Linked DNA regions of Caenorhabditis elegans. The protein of the gene in region 3 interacts with the protein of the main gene of each other region in a pairwise test. Each region holds a gene or a part of one and is shown on either strand. Other genes may lie near its edges.

What was found.
Region 1: the proteins of ctn-1 (region 3) and Y71G12B.27 interact in a two-hybrid assay, tested with the Caenorhabditis elegans proteins (one large-scale study listed by BioGRID).
Region 2: the proteins of ctn-1 (region 3) and hsp-17 interact in a two-hybrid assay, tested with the Caenorhabditis elegans proteins (one large-scale study listed by BioGRID).

The regions. Positions count from the first base shown.
Region 1 is NC_003279.8:1,796,888-1,800,380, forward strand, and holds Y71G12B.27 (Cyclin-dependent kinases regulatory subunit), read right to left. Parts: upstream 1,836-3,493; 5' UTR 1,759-1,835; coding exon 1,615-1,758; intron 765-1,614; coding exon 552-764; 3' UTR 548-551; downstream 1-547. Other genes in the region: Y71G12B.5 (Apolipophorin), read left to right, coding at 2,830-3,028.
Region 2 is NC_003283.11:8,384,228-8,387,891, forward strand, and holds hsp-17 (SHSP domain-containing protein), read right to left. Parts: upstream 1,701-3,664; 5' UTR 1,688-1,700; coding exon 1,641-1,687; intron 1,331-1,640; coding exon 1,093-1,330; intron 832-1,092; coding exon 667-831; 3' UTR 581-666; downstream 1-580. Other genes in the region: F52E1.14 (ZP domain-containing protein), read left to right, coding at 1-41, 200-339, 386-580; gcy-7 (Guanylate cyclase), read left to right, coding at 3,129-3,176, 3,225-3,415, 3,526-3,635.
Region 3 is NC_003279.8:2,604,919-2,609,750, reverse strand, and holds the start of ctn-1 (Alpha-catulin), read right to left. Parts: upstream 3,011-4,832; coding exon 2,819-3,010; intron 2,540-2,818; coding exon 2,456-2,539; intron 1,564-2,455; coding exon 1,443-1,563; intron 891-1,442; coding exon 724-890; intron 1-723. UniProt on the Caenorhabditis elegans protein: Required for slo-1 potassium ion channel clustering at presynaptic terminals and in egg-laying muscles; clustering of slo-1 mediates the intoxicating and sedatory effects of ethanol on worms.

The DNA.
Region 1 (3,493 bases), 810 kb from region 3:
CCCGGCAAATTGCCGAAAATGACAATTTCCGGCAAATCGGCAAACTGGCAATTTGCCGACTTTCCGAATTTGTGGACAAAAAAAATTGCCGAACGGGAATTGCCGGCCCCTGGTGTACTCTACGTTCAAAACAAATTTGTAATTTTTGTTAACATAAAATTTGAAATAAAAATCTTTATGCTTCGTTTTTATGGCGGCCGAGATTTTTATTCTATACGGGTTTTGTTGCAAAATATTGATTTTTATGACTTCGATTTTCATTTAATATTGATTTTTGTCGAAATATCGATTTCCCAAAATATCGATTTTTTAAAAAGCAACTTTTGTAATATATCGATTTTCGGCGCTTTTTAATTGAACATACGGTATTACTAGGGCTTCCATTCCTGCGCCGGCGAGGCGCCTTCGCCGACCAGCGAGACGCCTCAGTCATGTATAGTGCGGCGCGGAACCCCGAACGTGTCGGACGCTTCCAAATAACAGCGGCGATGGCCGGCCGGCGCGAGACGCACCGCCGCTCACCCATGGAAGCCCAAAGTCTTACAAAATATCTACACTGCTTTATTCACAAATTCATAGAAAACCGCGTTCAATTTCTCATCGGTTGCTGTCGTTTGCTGTTGCGCTCTATTGAACACTTCCATATCTCTCAACAATTCCATTTTGGCACGCTCCTCGTCGGCTTTTGTGAAATGGCGCTTCCGACGGAACAAGAGAATGTGCTTCTCCGGGTTATGAACCATGTAGTGCTCCCATCCAAGTGACTGAAAAGTATGAAAAATCAATAATTCGGCCACATTCAGAAATTTAATATTGATTTTTTTTCGTCGATTTTATGACTATCGGTTTTCTTGAAATATCGATTCTATCAACATATTAATGTTTATTTAAAACAAATTTTCATTAAAGGCAAATTGCCGGAATTGAAAATTTCGGGCAAATCGGTAAGCCGGCCAATTGCCGGAATTGAAAATTTCTGGCAAATCGGCAAACCGACACATAGCCGGAATTGAAAATTTCTGGCAAATCAAAAAACCGGCAAATTGCCGAAGTTTAAAATTTCTGGAAATCGGCAAATCGGCAAACTGCCGGAATTGAAAATTTCTGGCAAATTGCCGGAATTGAAAATTTCTGGCAAGTCGGCTAACCGGCAAATTGCCGGAATTGAAAGTTCCTGGCAAATCGGCAAATCGGCACATAGCCGGAATTGAAAATGTCTGGCAAATCGGCAAACCGGCACATAGCCGGAATTGAAAATGTCTGGCAAATCGGCAAACCGGCACATAGCCGGAATTGAAAATGTCTGGCAAATCGGCAAACCGGCACATAGCCGGAATTGAAAATTTCTGGAAAATCGGCAAACCGGCAATTTGCCGAACATGAGAATTTCCGGCAAATCAGCAAACCGGCAATTAAATTATCGGGCCGGCGTAAGGCCCACATTTCGCACCTCACTCGGCTGGGAGCCTTGCTTAATTTAATAAAAAATATTTTAAAATATTGGCTTTTTCAAAATATCAATTTTGTGAATTATCGATTTTTGGAAAAATCTATTTTTTTTAATTATCGATTTTTTTCCTAAAATCTTAACATATCACTTAATTGAAAATATACCTGTTGAACTCCAGCACGTCTCCATTCAGCCTCACTAAGAAGTCTTCCCTTTGGCACTTTTCTCGAGACGGCTTGCGGAAGAATGACGTGGCGATATTCGTATTCATCATCTTCGTAACGTGGCGAATAGTAGATATCTTCCATTTTTCAAAAACTCTTATTCTTCGATGTTAATTGTACGACAAGTAGGGAATGAATGATTGTTGAGGAGTTTTGGAAATGTTGTTGGAACAATTAGGAAGAGGGGGGGGGGCAAGGTTACGTGGACAATTCTTTTTTTTTAAATTCTGAAATGTTGTATTTATTTTACAAATCACGTGGAGTATTCCGAATATCGATGTAAAAAAAATTCAACAAAAAAATCCCTGATTTTATATTTGAGCTTGAAATCGCCGAATTTCATTTGTGCCCCCGCATAATTTTTTCAAATTCGCATTGGAGCGCGCTTGCATCGTTTTATTTACTTCATTTATTTTTCAGTTTTATGAAAGAAAAAAGAATCGCTTCATATGGTTTTTCAGTACTTTTGAATTTTTGAAAAAATAGATTTTAACTAAATTTTGCAATTTTTCAAAATAATCTTCCGGTCAAGCTAGCATACTCTTTTTGATACTTTCTGGTATTTCTGATCATGCTGAACAGTAATATAAAAGAAAAAAGAAGCACTTCATATGATTTTGGCGTACTTTTGAATTTTTGAAAAATACAGCTTTTGGTCAAATTGTGCAATTTTTTAAAATATGTTCCGGATTGACTAGCATACTTTTTTTTAGTATTTTCTGGTATTTCTGATCATGCTGAACAGTATTATAAAAGAAAAAAGAAGCACTTCATATGATTTTTCAGTACTTTTGAATTTTTGAAAAATACAACTTTTGCTTTTTTTTAACAATTGAAATCGATTGGCATTATCAAATTTTTATGAAAAATGTCAAAACTCGAAACTTTGGGGGATTCTATAGAAAATACACATTACCGAATCTAAAAGCTCCCCACACTTTCATCTTTCTTCTACGAATTTTGCAGATTTCTTGATTTTTTTCCCATCTTTCCAAATTTGATTTTCGATTCCCTGTGCTGACGTGTCGTCCCCCGCAACAATTCCCAATTCCCGTCCCTCCAATAATTCGATTATTCATAACGATCATACCGCCCATCTTGTCGCTTAAAAGGAGCCCACCATCCCGTCTTTTCCGCAGATAGTCGCCTCACAATATGTGGCTGACAAATTATTTTCTTCTCGTTTTTCTTCTCTTCAGAACTATTCATGGACTCGCCGATGGATCCGAGACCACTGTCAAGGAGTTTTTGAGCAAAGTGTCAGATGAAATTGCTACTAGAGATGCTTCCCGGATTGCTACACTATTTTCCGATGGGTTCTCGTTTCAAGGATGCAAGGGAAAATATGACAAGGGTGAGTGTTTTAGGCAATTTCCTTAAGATGTTGAAAAATTGACGGGATTCTTGAATGATCTGTAAGCTCTCGCAAAGTTATAATTAAGTAGTTTCGGTGCTATTTTGAAACAATTTAACATCTCTGTTAGGGCTCCCATGAGGTCGCCGCAACGAGTCCCGCGCCGACCTCAGCGGTAGCCGCGCCGGCCTCACGGTGTCGGCGTCACTCACGCCGCATGTATCCGAATGTATAGTGCGGCACGGAACCCCGAACTTGTCGGCCGCCAACCACAGTTTCGAACTACGTTGTGCACTGCACACACCAAGCTACTCGTTTCACGCCAAGCTGCGGAACCCCGAACTTGTCGGCCGCTCCAAATAACTACCCTTCGCACTTCGTTGCATACACACATCGGTGCGCGGAGGTCGGCGTGAGGCCCGCATTTCGCGCCTCACTCTGCTGGGAGCCCTAACACGACCCGAG
Region 2 (3,664 bases), on a different chromosome or scaffold from region 3:
TGTAAAAGTCAAGACCGACGTTGCACTTAATACCAACTTTGGTGAGTTATCTAAAAAAAAACGTCATTGATAGAGAAAGCTCATCAATTATAAATTAATCTGCTAACAGGAAAGAATGAATCTTATCATGTTTAATGTGTTGCATCAGTATTCTAAACTAATTTTAAAAGATTTCCTATCGATTTTAAGAAATTTCCAGACGCTTCACTTTCCAATTGCGGAAAAGATGTATCCCAAGTTCAATGGTGTCAATCTCATTGTCAAGATAAAACACTCGAAAACGTCATTGTATCATCTGCAGTTATCAATGGAAGTCTTCCACTTGCTCTAGCACAACAGGTATAATTTCGTCACTATTTGAAAAGATTTCATGATTAAATTCAAGGTTTTCTCAACGATTGGATCACCAAACGATACTTCAATCGCTTCAATGCAAGTTGATTTAAACTCACAAGGAGTTCGAATCGATTATGATTATTATGATGATTTCAACTTCTGCTCAGTTTATGTGAAAGTGAAGAGGCCATCCATGTTCCCATATGCTCTATTCATTACGGTTCAAAAGATTGTTGGAGTCTAAACAAAATGTTTATATTGTCACTTCAATAATGGAATTGAATAAATATTTTTGAAATAGTTAAAATACAGACACTTAGGTAACTGAAATCAGTTTCTCTTTGGCACAATTGTGATTGGAATGGATTTTGGCTGCTGTTCCTGATTCTTCTCATATTTGACAGTGAGCACTCCATTGTTGCTCAATTCGGACTTGATTTGTTCTGGACGGACCCCTGTTGGAAGGTTATACTTCCGGACAAAGTGACGCTCTACCTGAAAGTATGCACAACGAGGTTTTAGACTTTAGTACAACTTCGTTATAAGCTCGGAAATGAGTTGCTTGGCTTCCTTGTATTGCGTAACAGGCGGAAGGATAATCTAGAACTCTTGGCCTTTATTTTGGATAACTTTTTGCCCTTTTCCGAGTAAGGTTTCAGGATCTTGAGAGCTAATCTAAGGATGCATGAAAACATTTTCAAGTTGCACTAGCTTCATACAAAACTTGAGTTTTTCAAGAAGGAGGGAAACCCTCACCTGTCCATATTTATCAGTCTTCTCGTTATGCTTTCCTTCGATGATTAGCTGATTATCAACAATGTTCACTTTCAACTCTTCTGGTTCAAACTGTGAAACATCTACAGATACATTGTATTCTTGATCGTTGTTCACAACATCAATAGCATCTCCTACTCGGTGTCCAGTGAGCATTGTTTGATCGGCCCAGTATGGTCGGATCATGTGGCGATCAAAGTCGACGTCATCGAAGAATCTGCTAGAAAACTTGTTTGTAGGAGTTTTGTAAAATTTTTAAAGTTAATTTTCTAATTTTCTAATTGCAGAAAAATATGTCAAAATCTCCAGTCTTTATGATTTTTCAGAGCATTATTTGCTAAACTGGAGTACAAAGTCCTCTCGCTAGCTTATTTTTAGAAATCGCGCCAAATTAAATTCTTGTGTATTTTAAGAACTAGCGGCGCAGAGTACAATTTGAGTGACGTCACTTATTAAAGAAGAAAATTTACAGAAAGTTATGTTACTTCAACTATAGAAGTTTCCGAAAACACGAGAATTTAGAAACTTACCGGCCATGGTTAAAGAATGGGGAGAATGGTGGAAAACGACGATCCATTTTATAATAGTTTCTGAAAATCTAATTATTTCAAAGAAACAAAACGAAAGTAAGACAGAAATAGGGGAAGAAGAAGACAAAACTGAGTTGACACTCCCTGCTTTTCTACTACTGCTCTATTATCCTCAATGCAAACAAGAATCGCCCACGGTTTTTTTTACCTCCTTCGAGAAACATCTACTCCGACGAATCATCAAAAAGAAAAGGTTTTAGATTTCGAAATTATTCGAACAAACTGACCAAAATACAGTTCTTTCTAACATGTAATATTTGTTTTAAACTTTAAAACTAATTGTAAGGAAGATTAACAAAAATAAAAAGCAAAACAGCGAGTCAATGATGAAAGTTGGGTGTGGTTGTTTGGATACTTCCCTTTTATCGAAGTTTTTCAGGAATGTATCGAATCGTCTCGAAACGTTTTTTTTGCTGGCACACTTGCTGATAAACTAATGCAGTGACACAGTTATTAATGGCATTGATGATTTCATTCAAGTTTAAACTTTATGCCAGAACTATCTCTAAGTATCATTATATTCTATACTATTTTTTTTTGAATTAGCAATGTAAATATACTCAAACAGAGGACGGAAAGAGAACGTTTGTCATTCAAAACGAGACGAACGGTTGAAGGATTGGATGACTGTTCCCAACGTTTGCAGAAAAAAAAACATTCAAAAATAAAAAAAGAGCGCAGCAGGACAGATGCGTATCTGCAAATTTTTAGATTCGATTTTCATATGATGTGGTGGTTTTCCGGGTCATTGAAATTCGAGAAAGAAAAAAGTTAAAAAGAAACCGATGGGTTGATGATAAGGATATTTATAACATTTGGTTTTATGTGCTCAATGTGCTAAACAAAGTTTAAAAATACAAGTAAAATAGTAAAAAGGAAATAGGAAAATAATGAGGCGTAATGCTAAAGTTAAAAACTATCTTCATTCAGGTTTCCAGTAACGAAAACTCAACAAGAGTGACTCACTTCAACCAGCTGCCTCTCTTGTTTTTTTACCGTATTCAATAAAAAATTTGAAATGGAACTTGTTTAACGACAATAATATCAAAAATTGTAAAATTTGCGGTACTTTACAGACTGTTTCCACGAGATGTCAATGTGATTTGTATCTGTTTGATAAACTAGATTTGAAATCCCCAATGTTTCAGAAATGCGCATAGACTGATCCGATTAATTACGCAATTGCTACCGTAACCTACCTTGTGTCACGCTTTCTCATGACCAACAGATTAATCAAGTCCAAAAGAAGCTTTTTTCTCTTCCGTGCTTTTTCACGTATCAACTGTTTCGGGAGGCGGAAAAATATAAAAATAAGGTTTCACGGATTAGGCGGCAGGCGTAGTAAACTTAAGTTTCTATAAATCCCACCGCCCCTTGTGCAGATATAAAAAGATCTGCTGTCTGCCAGTTTAGCATAAGAAAATAATCATGAAGCCCTTCTATTCAATGTCTCTAGTTTTGTTTTTAGTGATTACGGTAGGTTTTGAAAGCGAATTCCACAAAATAAAAATGATTTTTTTTCAGTTGTTACCTAAACCTATGTTTCCCCAAGTTGCAACAGGTACCACTGGAAATGTGATTCGAGTGGGATTTATTCACTGTAGAGACTTTCAAAGTGCACCTATCACTGTTGGATATCGTACATCTGCAGCAGCAGCTTCAATTGCAGTTGATAGATTGAAAAGGGAGAATCTAATGAGTGGTTGGGAATTCAAGTAAGTAGATTATTTCTAATGCCATACTGTTTTGTAAAAAAAAATAGACAGGCCGGATTGAAGAGTTTTAATAGTTCATATCATCTTGTAAATTTTGAAAATAATTTCAGTTTTACTATTGAATTTGACGATTGCGTAGAATCTGAAGCCGCTGGAATGACTGTTGATCTTATAGAGAAGCACAACGTGGACGTCATCATTGGGCCCACTATGAACCAGCGTAAGTAAATTTTTCAAATGTTTTGGTAA
Region 3 (4,832 bases):
TGATAAAACTTCGAAAAATTTGGTGGTAGGCTTTTGTAAATTTCTGTCATTTTTTTTCGTAATTTTTGTAACTTTTTTCGACATTTTTTGGTAAGTTTTTTTTTCCATTTGTTAGAAATTTTTTTTTTTTGGTAAATTTTGGTCGTTTTAACCAATGTTTGGCTTTCTTTTTGACTATTCTAGACAATTAATTTTTCAATTTTTCGGCATTTTTTGCCAATTTTTGAAAAATGTCCTACTATTTTTTGGCAATTTTTGGTGAATTATTTCCTTCACTTTTTTTGTAGATTTTTGTACATTTCTGACGTTTTTTGGCCAATTTTCGGTTTTTTTTTCCGTAAATTTTGGTAATTTTTTTTCGGTTTTTTTTCCATTTTTTCGGTAAATTTTGGCCAATTTTTTGAGCAATTTTGTACATTTTCATACAATTTTCGTCAATTTTTAGTTATTTTCGCTGAATTTTCACAATTTTTTCCGCAAATTAAAAAAAAATTTTTTGGCAATTATTGATAATTTTTCCTATTTTTTGGTAGATTTTTGTGGTTCTTTAGTGATTTTTTGCCAATATTTGGTGGATTTTTGTCTTAATTTTTTTTTTAATTTCAAGATTTTTTATCTTTATTTTTTAAGGAATTTTGTCGATTTTGCAGAATGAAATTTGTCAGAAAATTTTCAAATAATTTTTGGAAATTTTGAAAAATTAACATTTTTCATCTGTCTCACCTTATCCTCGGCCCTCAAAACCTGCTTGACAAGCACCCGATCCGCGAGTAGCAGGACTCTGGTGACACTGCTCAAGAGCTGCCTGCTGGCTCGGACGAGCACAGCTTTATCCACCACCGAGTTGGGATCATCGTTACATGCACATGATAGGTTGGCCATTGAAGCACCTGAAAAATATCGGATTTTTATATTTGATCTCAGAAACTGGCAGGAAATTTGGCTTTCCACAGATCAAAGGTAAGAGCTCTCTCGGACTAAACAAGGTCCCACACACTTTGCAAAAAAATGGAGAGGCTCTGGTAATTGGATACGTGAGCATGGATTTGTGCTCTTTTTCTTCGTGTATACATAGATGACGATGGAATAATCACACCCATTGAGTGTTTCATGTAATATGACACCCCGCCGGGGTGAAGAAATGAGGTGCCTTTCTTTGTTTCAGTTGAGAGAAGGGGGTCTATAAGCTATTTTATCTTAATCCGTAGTTCTCATAAGGGGGTGGGCGGCAAACGATTTTTTTCCGGCAAATTGGCAAATTGCCGGAATTGAAATTTCCGGCAAATCGGCAAACCGGCAAATGGTTTTGCACAATTTTTTGGAAATTTCAGAGTTTCAATTTTAATCGGCAGTTTTTTTGGAAGTTTTAAAAATTTTCTTCAAAAACCACCAGTTTTCCCAGATTTTCACAATGACTTTTTTGTATCAAAAAATAAATTTACCAGCTAGCCGAGCTTCAGTACACGCATCATACATTTCCGGCTGAATATCCGCGTTCTCGTCGGCTATCGTCTCTCCAACACACACAAACCGTTCGATTGCTGCCTCAACGGCGCTTCCGATCTGAAAACAGGAAAAGTTTAAAAAAATTAAAATTTTCCACAAAAATTTGTAAATTCTATCCAAACTGGGTTTGTCCGTTCCATGCTAATATTGATATTTAAAAAATTTTGTTTAGAAAACTGTTATAATATAAAATTAGGATACCTTATCATTTACAAAATTCTGAGAATGCGTATTGTGAAACATATTTGACGCGCAAAATATCTCGTAGCGAAAACTACAGTAGTTCTTTAAATAAGTACTGTAGCACTTGTGTCGATTTACGGGTTCTATTTTCGAAAATAATTACTTTCCGAATTACGAGAGCGATATTCCATATATTCTATTGATAAATAAATAGTTTTGATTTATTATTATTTTAGAAATTGAGCCCGTAAATCGACACCAACGCGACAGTAGTCATTTAAATAATTACTGTAGTTTTCGATACGAGATATTTTGCGCGTCAAATATGTTGCACAGTACGCATTCTCCAAATTTTGTGTTTGCCGTAATATTTTGGTCAATATTTTTAAAAAAGTTTCTATGATAAAAAATTACAATTTTCAAATTTTCGAGATTTTTTAATGTTCCACAGAAATTGTTTTAAAACAAATTTCAGAGATTTTTTAAAGGTTTTTTAATGCCTATAGTTTAGTTAATAATTCAAATTTTAATTTTCCCAGGAAATGATCAGAATTTCCGATTTTTGTGTTATTTTTTTTAGGAATCTTTCAACATTTTCCGGGGAAAATTCTTCAATTTCTTCTTATAATTTTCAGAATTTTTCTGTCTAAAAATTACACAAAAGAAAAATTAGTTTTCTCAACTTTTATTGATCAATTTTCAATTAAAACTTCTTTTTTTTAAATTTCACTTTTTCCAGATTCAGATTAAAAAATTTCCAACAAACCTTCAACGCTGCTCTCATTGCTCGTTCAGATTTCGGCTTCCCACTTGCCATGTAACTTTCTTTATAGTTGACGAGTGTGGTGATCTATAAACGAATAAATAAATAAATCGTGCCAAATGGGCCGTCAAACGACGGAAATGAACATGGATAATCGCCCAAAGAAAGGGTGATGTCATTTTTTGCAGCGCCAAAGTAGAATCTTTTAGGATGTTCGGTAAAAGTTTTTAGGTCATGTGTGACGTCACAAAAAATTTAGGTCACTAGTGACGTCATAACTTTCACAAAATTTTTTGCGGGGGTTTCTAGGCCCCGTAAGACATTTTTCAATTAAAAAAAAATTAAAAATTCTTTATAACTCCCTACCTGAGTAACTAGCGGGATAAGTGTCTGCTCTATGGATTTTGTCTTAATTTCCAAATTTCGAGCATCAAACGGCGGGACCACAGAGTTCGAGGACGGCATTGCCGTCGTGTGATATGAGGACGTCAACGATGACATCGATGACGCCGCCATCTTCTTGGCAAGATGACCGCCGCGCCTACCTGGAATTTTCATATTAAAATTGATTGAAAAAGTATGAAATTCAGCAAAAAATCAAAAAAAAACGGAGGAAATCGGTTAGAAATTGGAGGAATTAAAATGAATGAGAGTCGGGTAAAAGTCTGAAATTTTTGTTTCAAAGCCCCAAAATATTTTTTAAAAAATTAGTGAATTTGTATCCCCAAAATTCGAAATTCACTTTATGATTTTGAAGGCTTTTTGGCCAAAAACTGAAGTTTAAAAAACGAAAAATTAAAAAAATCAATTTAATTTTTTTCAAACTATTTTTATCAAGATTTTCCAAAATATATTTGAATTAATTTTTTTATTTAAAAAAAATCAGGAAATCCGGTAAAAAAGACCCTGGATAGGCTAAGCGCCTTTAAACTTTTGGTACTATAAAACAGCCGGTAAACCGGCAAGACGGAGAAAATTGCCGAAATTTAAAATTTCCGGCAAATCGGCAAATCGGAAAAAATTGCCGGAATTAAAAATTTCAGGCAAGTTGGCAAATTGTCGGAATTGAATATTTCCGGCAAATCGGAAAATTGGAAAAAATTGCCGGAATTGAAATTTCTGGCAAATTGGCAAATCGGAAAAAATTTCTGGCAAATCGACAAATCGGAAAAACTTGCCGGAATTGAAATTTCTGGCAAATTGGCAAACCGGCAAATTTTTCCTGTGAATGTTCCTACATATGTTCCTACATCTGAAAAGTAAACGGCAAATTGGCAATTTTCCAAAAATCGGCAATTCGCCCAATTTATTGACAGAAAAAATTTGCCGACCTTTCAAAATGTCTTTCTTTAAAAAAAAAAATTTAATCTATTTTTTATATCAGAAAAAAAGGCGGAAAAAATTTTTCATTGCCCAAAATAGGCTATGCGCTTTTAAACTTTGAGTATTGTACCCGCTTTCTTTTTGAAAGTTTGATTGAAAAATCTAAATTTTCCTTGGTTCAAAACCAATTTTTTTTAGAAAAAAAGGAGCATGGAATATAAGTGGAACACTTTCGGCAATAAGAAAAAACAAAAAAAAACAAATCTGTGGGGTAAAAACAAAACCCGGAAGAGAGGGAAAAATGAGAAAGGAGATGGTATCAAGAGAACTGTCTCAAGAGGATTTCCAGAAAAGTGACCACGGGGAGCCCGGTGGTTGTTGTGCTCAACAGAGGGTGACTAAAAGGCAGAGGGCACTTTGTGTTCTTGCTCCACCGCCGTCGCCGCTGCTGCTGCTGCGGCTCCCCATCTGCGAGAGCTCTTGTGCTCCGGACACAGAGAGGGAGAGGGAGCAAGAGTGTAAAGTGGGGCTCTCTCTCTCTCTTGCCAGTTTCTTCTTCTTCTTCTTGTCGCCGCGGCGCGGACTAGAAGTGAGAAGAAGAAAAAGAAGAAGAAAGAGAAAGAGAGATGGATGGGTGACGACTACGAACCGATCACCCGAATCGATTAGAAACATATTATTATTTTATGAGGGGGCCATTAATGTGAACAGGGGTGGGTGTTGTAGTGCTGGCCTAGGATTTTTTTCCTCTTCCATTATTGCAAGAGGGGTGGTTTGCACACTGGCTGGAAATGACCTAGAATTTTTTTTGTGGGAATTTTTGTTGAATTGAAATTTCCGGCAAATCGGCAAACCGGCAAATTTCCGGAAATTTTCGGCAATTGGAAATTTCAGAATTTCAATTTTAATCTGCAAAATTGTACGTATCCTATGAATGTTGCTACATATGTTTTGAAAAGTAAGCAAATTCTATGAAAATATCTGAGAAAACGGGAACAAAAATTTCAAAAAGGCACAGTTATTTCCGTCTTATAAAAAATATCTCTAAAAACGTCCG